Linked DNA regions of Schizosaccharomyces pombe. The protein of the gene in region 1 binds, or shares a complex with, the protein of each later gene. Each region holds a gene or a part of one and is shown in the gene's direction. Other genes may lie near its edges.

Region 1 (4,212 bases):
ACTATTGTATTCTTCCAGCTGAACAATATCGCGCATTAAAACCCAATTACGGTTTTTTGAGAGTAATTGTACAAATTTTATAAATGCATCTTTTGGCAATGGTCCCATGCCTGCACGAGACCACTGTTTATAAAGAAAATGAGCAGTATCAACTTGGTTATCACGATATGCTATGGAAAACAAAAACGCATAAACGTGTTGCAAAGGAAGCTGTTGATTTTGGAATCTCAAAGGAGCAAATATATGACCTAATGACTCTGAGAAGCAGAAGCGTTTTAAATTAGAGACTGTAGAGGAATCCATCCCAAGATGGGAATTATGGAAATGATACACCAAACACAATTCAACGTACAGACTTTTGAGATTTTGGGGTAACTTAATGTTACTCCACCAGTTTTCTCGAAAATTTTGATATAAGATTGCTTGTTCAGTCAAATTGCATGAACGGAATCGTTCTAAAAAACGGAGGCAGAGTTCAACAAGAAAATCTTCTTTTTTATTTTTTTTGGCGACATTAATCCAAATGGGAGTTATTTTTGCCAACGTTTCAACCTCCAGTTTTGAATACACAATGAGGCAAAGATCAGGATTTTTATCAAAACATTCGGCAAACCGTTTTTTCACGTAAATTAGGAATGGGTTTTTATGTTTGTCAAAAGGCACAGTAACCTTTTCAGTTTTATTATCAGCATAGACTTCACTGACTTTTCGGATAATGTACATTAAATCGTTTTCACTAAGAACAGCACCTGCGCTGGAAGGCAAACACTTGTGAAATAATTGATTTTCTGCAAAACTTGAGAGAAATGCTTCGTTTGAAGCAGATTTCGAGTATTTATGTAATTCATCAGAAGACGCTTGTCGAGGCCTGCACCCAGTTACCTTTTCATGATGAACGCTAAGCTGGTTTAGTGACCGCACAACAAGACGATTTGGGAAAGGGATTTTAAATTCCCTTAAACGTAAATGTTTTGTCCATGCAAAAAGTAGTGGAGATACACAATTTCGCATCTCTTAGCCTGGCAAGCAGACAAAAGTCGTCCCCAAAACGAGAGGCGTGGAAACGAAAAGACGCGTTATGAAGAAAAGAAACGATAATCAAATTAAAAGGATCACTATTAATGAGAGAAGGGGGTACTTGATAAAAAAAGAAAACGAGAACTCGATACGAGATGATGCATATACTTCCGTTCCCTTTCTATATGATGCGATAATTCAAACATTAAACTGTGCGAAAAGGCTCAATAATGCATCTAAACATTTCATCCAAGGTTTCCAAAAAACAGAAGGTGGTATAAATACAGCTAACTGAGCAAACCTTCCAACGTTGCGAAGTTGGGTTCTAAGCAAAACCTAAGATTGCTATTTCCTCATTAACAGGCAGCGTTAGTGAATTAACGGAAACCATCGCTATAGTTTATTTACGTTATTTTGTTATAATAGCTCGTTATTGTGTAAACATGGAAAGAACATTCATGAGTAAAAAAGAGGTCCCTTAATATAATTAAATGCAGAATATCCCTCTAAACTATTAAACTATCATTCATCGATCCTCTTAAGAATCGCTAATGAATAACGATCAATCGGCCATCATCATATATAGGAATGGCATTGAATGCAACCAGCATTTAGGCACGTTTGTTGACTCATTAGTATTTAATCAGCATTTACAATATCATCGAATACACTTTCGTCAAAGAACACAAGTGTAGTCTATTTACCTTACTTCTTCGTTATAAGCTACAGATTAACCTTACCTAGGTTATATAACACTCATCATCCAGAAGCGAATATCGTATTCTAGCATTGAGATTGCCAGCTAGCAGGTAAAATCAAATACGGAGTATAAATATGACTGCGTTATAAGTGAAGAAATGAAAATAACTGCTAAAAATGTATGAGCAGGCAAGAATTCAAGTAGTTGATGTCCATTCATAATAATACTGTACGATCAATGGCTTTAAATATTTGCAGCACTTCATTTTCACTTCAGAACATGCTAGGTGTAGCGGCATTTGCTGCGCTAATTTACTCAGTCAGTTTATGACAAAATCAAATTAGCAAATACGCATACAGCTTCACAAATACAGTACAGCCATTTAATTTGCTTTACGAAACATATAATTGATTTTGTCTAATTAATCTTAAAATTTTTTTGGAGTTTTTTGAACCATTGTTATTAATAATTCTAACGGCTGCCGGTAAATATTTAATGAAATCAGTGAAAATTAAAAGTATAAAAAAAAAAAAGTTTATTCCATAACAAAAAATTTTTAAGTATTAAAAAATTTTTAAGCAGTTTAACTTGCTTTCCTATGGCGTTAACGATTGATAAAAAAATATAAAAAAATAAAGGCAATAAACTCTATATACCTTTAGCAATTATAAAAAAAATATCTAAAAAATAATAGGGACTTTCAATCCATAAAATTAATTTAGATGAACAATCGCTTAGTTTAAATTCCGAATTTACAAACAAGCCATATCTTAGCAAAAAAAAGGCAATAGATGTGTTTAAATTTATAAATAACTATTTCATTAATAGTGTTCGTATCCTTGTGTGTTCTGAAATAAATATTCATAATATCTTACCATTAGGTTATACTCAGTAGCTACTAAGATGAGGCACACTAGTACCGTCAGCTAACACTAGCTTGGCCAGCCCAATTCCTCTTGGAAGCCATTTTCACCAAAAAAGTTGGTTTCTTGCGCTTATAATTCACTTTTTTAGCAGACTATCCATATAAGCGATTGTTTATTACCTCAAGTCATACTCTCCATTATTTATAGCGCCGTGGATGTGTTTTGCATAATTAACCCATCTCAATCATTATTCAATCCTTACTTCCATTTTCACGTTTCTATTACTGATTATTTTACTAATATACTATTTAATAACTTTTTCAGGAGGAAGATCCAATGCCGAAATTTAATGCAAATGGTTTGCTACGCAGCTTTGCAGCTGAAATGAAAAAGCCATGGACAGCAGAGTCTTTATGGTACGAAACGGTTGCTAAACATCCCCCAACCTTTCAATATGCTAGACGTATTGTACCATTGTACGATCCAAATAAGGTAAAATCCCGTGGTAAACGGTTACGAAAATCAATGTATCAGCCTCAGGAAATTCAATGGCCAGAAGATAAACTCCGTAAAAGGTTTTATCGAGATCATCCTTGGGAACTAGCAAGGCCTCAAATCATTGCAGAAAATGACGGTAATGATCAGCAATATTGTGATTGGAGTCACATGGATCAACCGCGCAAAGCATTATCTGGCGAGAGTGTAGTGCAAAGAACTTTATGGCTGATTGAAAACTCTAACATGCCTGTAGAAAATGCTTATGATCAAGCAAGAAAGGAATTTTATCACCTACGCGCTGAACAAGAAATTCAGCAACGCGTTGCCCATGATCAGGCTCAAGCATTGGGTGCTGTATTTACAAAATCTGATCTGGAGTTGGGCTATGAAATGGATCAAAATGCTTTAAATTCTTGGTTTGATAATGCTTCACAATACGCTGAGGCTAATCGTACAAAGTTCACAGACCCGAGTGTAGATATCTCTAAGACGACTCAGTAGTATTTAAATTCACAGCTGATATATCATATTGTCTCCTCAAAAATTGATTTTTGTTTTGTTTTTTTTTTTTTCAGAATTTTCTTAGTACTATCCCCTTTCAAAAATAAAACAGATATTTTTCATCTCTTTATGTCTTCAAATTAAAACAATCTATCAGAACACATTAAATTTCTACCATCTATTTGAATACATATATATATATTATAAATATTATTCAAAGCTATAGCAAGCTTTTCAGATGACACTGCCGTTTAGCCAGCTAGCGAACTTTCGCTCCAAACTTTTAAAAGTGCTTTAAAAAAAGTTCATCATTTATTGAGCAGCCAACATAGATAAGAAGATGATAGCGTCTATACCCATAACACTTTTTGTCAGGAAAGGAAAAATTTTTCTAATATTAAACGATTGCCAGTAATTGATTTTAGTCATGAATCACGAAATGCCACTTTTTTTCCCAAACAAAAAGTTAAGATACATATCAAAAAAACCAAACTCATGCCTCAACAGGATTGGTCACCATCTCACCTATGTAGACTCTAAAAATTACCATCATTTACCTTCCTTTCTTAGGTCGAGGTTTTATTTCGTCTTGCGGAACAGGGTGGAGCATGATTTTATTGGGCAATTGCG
Region 2 (3,377 bases), on another chromosome or scaffold:
ATTCTGGCTTTAAAGACATTTTGTCTCATCTGCGACACGTTGTAAAAAGAAAACAGTGTTTGGGTCATATTTTATTGTTTTCGAGGTAGGGTTTGGGTTTGGTAACAATTCTAAATTTTTGGTTAAAAAAGAAAGCATGGCCTTTCATTTTGTATCATTCGTTTACGGTGAAATTGGGAATGAATAATATGATACATGTAGACTAGAAACTAGGAGACATAATTCTTTAATTCAATTATTGGTTTATTTAAAAATCCTAATTAGATTATACTTGCTCGTAATTAGTGATACATTTTTTTATATACTTGAACTTGTCTATAACACTTTCGAGCACTACCGAAGATATTAATTATACTCATAAAAGGCGCTCGCCTATTTAGAAAGCCGTGGTGGTGTGTCCGTAGGAGTCCTCGTTTCTACGGGGAACCTCCTGTTAATTGAATCGCTCATTGCGGCTTTATATAATGTTTCACTCGTATGCTTCAGTTCCTCGCAAGCAATTTTCATTGCAGAGAATTGGTTTTTTAGAAGATTCTCTCTTTGTTTTTCTTGTCGATATTCGTGTATACGCCAAGCGCGATTAATAACTTCGTGTTTTTCCCACATGTCTGGATTCATTTTCAAAGACCTGACTTTTTTATTTCCGTAAAGAGCTTTTCTAACCAAATCGATTGACTCACTATGATTAGAAGGACCAGATTGGTGCTTTCCCTTTGAGGCCTTAGCCATTAATTGTAACGTAGAACGCATCTGCCAAAAAACTTTTCAACACAAACTAAAGTACTCCTTGAATTTTTTCACGTTGATAGAAAAAAATTTAATTTTCAAAAGTATTAACATAAAACCTTCCTTTAAAAGCTAAAAAACCTGAGTAGAGAAAAATGCGGTAGTAGTAAACGTGTTCAGTGGTATGAAGCTAATTAAGAGAGTAAGTCGTGATACACTAGGAAAAGCCACCAGTACGATATTTCAAAAAAAGAAGTGTTTCATCAAATCCCCTTCAATTTCACACACTGATAAAAAAAATATAGATTATAATTCGGAGTTCATTTAATTGTTTCTGAATTTTCAGTAGCTAAGCCAAACAAAGCATATGCATTTATGGAGATATGTAACCAAACGAAGACATTTAACAAGTAGAAAATATTAAGTTTTAAGTCAAAGCTTTATATGGAGTAGGCCTGATGCTCAATTTTTCTGCTAAGTTTCATGTAAGTAGTCAAACACATTGATAAATCCATATCAGTGTTTAAAGTTTTAATGAATGGATAAGTTATTGTAATAAATACTATCATCAACTGAAAATGGCATGGCAAAACGAAGCTTAAACCTCAATACAATCTACTTCCAGTACGTTTTTCAGTAGAAGTCATGAATTAAGTTGATTTTTTCAGCTTAACACTGTACTGTAAATTTGTCGATTAGCATACCTACATTCTGCATCTGTTTTAGACTAGTCCATTAAAGTTCAATTCCTAGAGGAAAAAATATTTAATACGCTAGTTATACCCAAAAATGTTTGTCAAAATATAAAAGAATAAATTTTTGTATCCCATCGAATAATATGAATGCTGCGAGATATTCTATTCCAAGGCAATATACATACACTAACACCAAACCAGCGACGTTCGGGTACAAACTTCGGAATTCCTTGCTCAAGCATCTATTATAGTGATTTTTGAGATTTTATACAGCTCAAATATTAAATTTCCCCAAATAATGATCCGTTTTGCTCAATATGCTCGATATCCGGTAATTTCAAGGTTGATGAAGCCAACAGTTATTTCACCATTTCAGGCTCAAGCGTTTTCTAGCTCTTCAGTTATGTTAAAGACATTAAATCAAACGATAAGAAATAAAGAGAAACGTCCTGAAAAAACAAATAAGCAATCTGTTGCTTTAGAGGGAAGTCCGTTTCGACGGGGTGTGTGCACGAGGGTCTTTACAGTAAAACCCAAAAAACCTAATTCGGCAGTAAGAAAGGTTGCCCGTGTACGCCTTTCAACCGGCCGTTCTGTTACTGCTTACATTCCAGGTATCGGTCATAATGCACAGGAGCATGCTGTGGTATTGTTAAGAGGCGGCAGAGCACAGGATTGTCCAGGAGTCCAATATCATGTTGTTCGGGGTGTCTATGACATTGCTGGTGTAGCGGGACGTGTCACATCCCGAAGCAAGTATGGAGTAAAAAAACCGAAAGCAGCCTAAACTTCATGACCTCAAAGACTTTCTTTTTCGAAAACCATGATATTCAGAAACGTTATCTTTATAATTATTCCACCTCCTCTTTTGATATCGATTCACAAGGACCTTATTAAAATGACTGAAACAAAAATTTAAATGAGAAAAAAGTTGAGTCAACCCATTTGTCATTTCTCGCAACCTTGCTTCTTGTTGCAACTATACATATTCAATAATCATTTACTCTTGCATGTTTAATAAGCAATTTTTTAGTTGAACTACATCCCCTTTAAACATACAATCATCAAAAAAAGGTAAAAAAGATTGTGTAATTAGGCAATTTCCAGTTATCTAAAAAATTAGCAAATAGATAATCCTTTTGGTTAAAATTTAACCAAATCTATCTAAACAATGATTTATTAAAATGAGGAGGATTTTCTTTTGAGAAATCCTTTTGGAAAGTTTTCTACTTTTTTGATATAAGCTCTTTAAATAAATTTTAAACTTGAGACGCTTTCAATTTTTAATTTGTTCAATTTGGTTTTACTACCGTGCTATTTAATTTTTAACTCTTGAATAAAGTATAAAAAACACCTTTTGGGTGTTGGAAAACGCTTTCCGGTTCTTATTTATATAGTATGCAGTATTGCTAGCACAACTTCACCGTTCAACGTTGCAGAAAAATTTACTAAACGATGAGAAAAATATTTTTTAACAAATCTTGGTTAATTGGATTTCTTGAAAGAAAAAGAAGATTTTATCTTGAACCCGAATAATTCATAAATTTGAGATAATAGGGTATGATGAATCTTATTTTTTACAAACTCAGATTAAAAAAAATCAAATTTCTTTTTGTTAGAATCAATTTACACACACATCTTTGAGATGTCCTGTAATGTTTGTAAATTCCGTACTCTTTTTTGGAATGTTAACAAAATCGTAACAAATTTAATAACAATACACAACCACAATTTTGTTTTAAAGAGACATATAACATCAATCACAACATGCTTTTTAATTCATCTGATATTCAATCTTCATACTATTAACTAATTCCAGGAAATAAATTCACTTTCAAAAAAAACATCTTAACTAAAAGCTGTTAAAAAGCAATTTCATATTTACATGCTCATTTCTACGTACAATTCAAAAAAAGCTAACAGACATCTAACATGATTTAGGCCAAGCCTTTCTTT
Region 3 (4,055 bases), on another chromosome or scaffold:
ATAGAATTCTTCAGGTTTTAAAATTGTAACCATTTTTAAGTATTTCGTTTGAATTCGACAAAAGAAGATACTGGGACAAACCACGACTTAGAATTCTTAGAAACTACAAAACTAATAACTACCCTTTCCACAAATCAAGATTAGTCGGGTTATGTTGGATAATTAGCTATAGCCACTAAATTTAAACCAAATCTGGTCTCCTGTAATGCTTTTACACTAGTGTTTATGCAAAAGTGAAATTTACACTGATTCATAAAGCTAAAGAATTTTAAACCGCTAAAGTAACGCGTTGCTCCTCGTAAAATATCTAAAGGTAAAATGATGATGGGTTAGTAAATTTGAAATATTCGATGGATTAAATAAGAAGCTGGGGAAAAATTATGCAAAAACTATTAATAAGAAGAAAGAATTGTCATTAAAATCAAATTGTATACATTAGTCAACCTTGGTCAGAAGAGGTCTGATGAAAGCTATGAATCAACGAAGAAAAAATGGAAATAATGCTTTATTCTTCAATAATTATCAATATTCAAACTTAATAAACGGCTAAGTTTACAAATTATAAAGCCATTAACACTTTCAACACTTTTTTAAATTTTATTTTATCAGGGCAGATTTACGATACTTCATGAATTGTTAATAGTCAATTAATTTCAACAAAATTTTTAATTAATTATTTTAAATTATCCATGTCAATTCCATCACAATGTCAAGCCAAATTGTATTAAAGCAATATTGCAATGGAATAAATTAATAAAATATCGTTGTCTGAAGATTTCTGTAATAGGTTATTTATTCAATTATTTTATAATTTTTTTTTTTTTTTTTTTTTTTTTACAAATGACTCATGTAAACATTAACAGTCTAATATTACTGTCTACAGATTGTTATATGCATTGACTTCCATTCGTGTTGAGTACTCTAAAATACTCAGCTCCTTAACATTTTTGCAAAGAACAAGTTATGTGGGTCAAGGTATTTAGTTTTTACTTAACTTAAAAGTAATACAATACAAACATTGTAAACATCACGGTTAAAGAACCCAATTAAGCACTATTTCACGTTCATAATAATATAGTTAAATAAAAAATACAGATTTTTTAAATCAAGTTCAATAAAAGATTATTTCGTAAAAAATTTTTTATTTTACTTTGATAGGCTTGAATTAACACATACAGGGAATAATAATGACTAGACGCTGAGCAGATGACTTGCCATCACTCTGTTTACCCCATTTTCTTAAAAACATTGCGTCTTTTTCTTATATTTAAATCATTCTTAAATGGAGTTTCCTGTTTTCTCATGAAACTTACAATTGAATCGAACTTCTTTTAATTATTTACTAAATAGCGCTAGTAATGAAAGTGCAATATTATCTAGCTGCGCATTGTAGTATCTTGTTTGACTTCTGTGAGTTTTCATTGTGATCGGTAATATCATATTATATATAGGTGTGATGTGGGTAGCAATTTGTTGTAAGTATTTATACATGGGTTACGTTGTTACCTGCCATTAATTAACATATAAACGAACCTGTTTCTGTTCAGATGTACTCTGTTTATAATCTTTTGGAGTAAACATGATCAAACACAAACAAGTACTCAAAAGAATAGTTATCAGCAATTATTAGTAAACGAATCTTAAATCTATCCTAACAGATGACATATAGTGATACGCAGCGTAACGTAGTGTAGTCTTGCTTACGAAAATCAAAATATAAGGATAACTAACACACTTTTTAAACAGCGAATGCCAAAAAAGGATGGGAAGCAAGTGCTATTAAATTCCTAAGAAAAAAAAAAGCTTGAAAGTATTATTAGGTGTTTTTATTCAATAGATGTTATAAATGCAATTGAGTAGAATCGATGCTATTTTACGTTACTAACCTTCATTCCAGTCTATTATGTGGTTTTTACTGGTTCTAACTACTAAGATTTAGTGTGTTATAATTATATACAACGAAGTCAAGTCAAGGACAACAATGTTTATACATTCTTCACTATCCCCTTCAAGTACCTTTTTGTAGCTTATTTAATTGTTTTGAGCATTTGGATTGTTAAATTTTAGAAAAAAAGTTTTTGTTAGATTCAGATTTCCATTTATAACGGCCACTCTTTTCGTTTCAAAGAAAATATAAAATCCGGTATCATACACTACTGCGCATTCGTTAAATGTGGTTTATTTTTTTTTATAATACAAATATTACATATATTTAGTGTTTTGGGTGGTTATAAAATGGCTTTTAATCCCCTTTTATCTTTATTGAAAGCAGATGCCATATTCCTCGGGCAACTTTCCAAATCAAGCTTTTGTGCTACTAGTAGAGCTTTCTCTGTTTTCTATTTTACAAGATTTAAGCGAAGTGCTTATGTGTCAGCGCCTTTTGGAATCGAGCCTCATGACGAGAAGGAATTGAAAACAATTGATGATAACGTCCATTCCAATAATCTATCATGGCAGAAAATACAAGAGCACGAGGTCATACGTGAATTGTATAGGAAAGCTGCTTATGAGCTTCCTGGACTTACGCGTAAGTTTACTGGGTAGTTTTACCTTAGGAATTCTATTTCACAATCACTTTAATATGCTTAATGTTCCATTTTCTCTGACAATTATAGCTTACACACAGTCTTTTAAAAAGCCTGCTGATAGCCAGATCTTTAGGTTTGAATCTGATGTCCAAATGTCTTCGTTTGAGAAAATGAATCCGAAGGTCGTTGTTACATTTAAAGTTACGAATATTCCTTTGCTAGAGGAGAAACAACGACATGTATTACGATTATTGGTTGGACCAAGATATAATCCGGAGGAGGATTTAGTCAGAATATCTTCCGACAAGTATTCTTCTGCACTACAAAATAAATATCATCTTATAAAGATATTAACTTCGCTCATTGAAGAATCGAAGAGAAATGCTGAAAAATTTTCACATGTCCCATTGAATACTGGCCATTGGAAATACAAGAAGTGTGATAAACGGATGCCACAGGAATGGCTCGCAGACGCAACTACACTCACTTCTAAAAAGAAAACAACGATTGGCAAGCAATCACATAATACAGTACTTGAACGAGAATCGATAGCAACTACAGATGAATAATATGAAAGGAAAGTTTGTTTAAGTTACTATTAAAATTAACGAGTCTATAATGTAAGCTAATATTGAAGGAATTAATCCTTCTCATTACTATATTAAGATGAAATAAAACTGTAGTATAAAAGGTACTGTTTCTCTAATCATAAATTTCTAACGGAGGGATTTTGTCAATACTACTGAGCCAATTTCTTGCGTTTGATTCGGTAGACATCCATTTTAATGGAAGTTCTACCAACTGTCCCCGAATGCCACGTAGTAAGTCGTAAACTACACGTTTGTCAGGAACTTGTAAACCATTATTAGTACGGGTTTTTGGTTTCTCTGTCTTCGAATCTTCACTTGCACTCGTGTTACCACTACCTTGGGAACCAGCCTTTGGATTTTTTGGATCATTCTCTGACTTTTCATGAGTTTCGTGTAGATTTGACAACTCCTCCTGACGCCAGCGGGCTTGCTCTTCTTTAAAGCGTTTTCCATATTTTTTCCACTCATTATATGATTCCCACGTTAGCATCTCGTCATCCGGTACACATCGAAATATGTGCCGATAAATAGTAGTATTGTTTGAAGCCACTTTAGACCATATGTCTTCAAAAAATTCATCGCAGACGGGGTCCTCAAAGCTTGAAGCGTCAAATTTAGGAATTGTTTCTCCACTAATAGGATTCACCTCAAGCAATGGTATATCATCATAAAACACAAGTCCATTTCCACAGTGTGGACGACTGGGTTCAGGCACTAGATGATCAGGGTCTTTAAGTACCATTGGACGTTGATCCTCCCCACATTGAGAGAACTTGGAAAGTTCATATAATGAGTCCTCCTTTGTTTTCAGTGATAAGGGGATGCCGCCTACTAGGGCGTTGGCTATAACATCAGGCCCTTTTTTAGACTTCTCGTAGTTCTTTTCAAACTCGACCTTGTCCTTTTGAGTTTTAATATTGAATTCAATCGAAGA

The links. The genes of interacting proteins can lie anywhere in the genome.
Region 2: rsm25 (region 1) and mrps12 share a complex: the UniProt entries of both Schizosaccharomyces pombe proteins name them as parts of the mitochondrial small ribosomal subunit.
Region 3: rsm25 (region 1) and rsm24 share a complex: the UniProt entries of both Schizosaccharomyces pombe proteins name them as parts of the mitochondrial small ribosomal subunit.

What each region holds. Positions count from the first base shown.
Region 1 is NC_003423.3:4,290,396-4,294,607, reverse strand, and holds rsm25 (mitochondrial 37S ribosomal protein mS23), read left to right. Parts: upstream 1-2,645; 5' UTR 2,646-2,919; coding exon 2,920-3,582; 3' UTR 3,583-3,712; downstream 3,713-4,212. Other genes in the region: PPR repeat-containing protein Ppr7, read right to left, coding at 1-1,011; nucleoporin Rae1, read right to left, coding at 4,136-4,212. UniProt on the Schizosaccharomyces pombe protein: Component of the mitochondrial ribosome (mitoribosome), a dedicated translation machinery responsible for the synthesis of mitochondrial genome-encoded proteins, including at least some of the essential transmembrane subunits of the mitochondrial respiratory chain.
Region 2 is NC_003424.3:2,667,165-2,670,541, reverse strand, and holds mrps12 (mitochondrial 37S ribosomal protein uS12m), read left to right. Parts: upstream 1-1,609; 5' UTR 1,610-1,719; coding exon 1,720-2,208; 3' UTR 2,209-2,461; downstream 2,462-3,377. Other genes in the region: Brix domain-containing protein Rpf1, read left to right, coding at 1-13; mrpl28 (mitochondrial 54S ribosomal protein mL40), read right to left, coding at 373-729; hxk2 (hexokinase 2), read right to left, coding at 3,359-3,377. UniProt on the Schizosaccharomyces pombe protein: Component of the mitochondrial ribosome (mitoribosome), a dedicated translation machinery responsible for the synthesis of mitochondrial genome-encoded proteins, including at least some of the essential transmembrane subunits of the mitochondrial respiratory chain.
Region 3 is NC_003424.3:561,935-565,989, forward strand, and holds rsm24 (mitochondrial 37S ribosomal protein mS35), read left to right. Parts: upstream 1-1,991; 5' UTR 1,992-2,235; coding exon 2,236-2,530; intron 2,531-2,539; exon of another isoform or gene 2,540-2,618; coding exon 2,619-3,100; 3' UTR 3,101-3,139; downstream 3,140-4,055. Other genes in the region: exosome subunit Rrp4, read right to left, coding at 1-33; phospholipase D Pld1, read right to left, coding at 3,234-4,055. UniProt on the Schizosaccharomyces pombe protein: Component of the mitochondrial ribosome (mitoribosome), a dedicated translation machinery responsible for the synthesis of mitochondrial genome-encoded proteins, including at least some of the essential transmembrane subunits of the mitochondrial respiratory chain.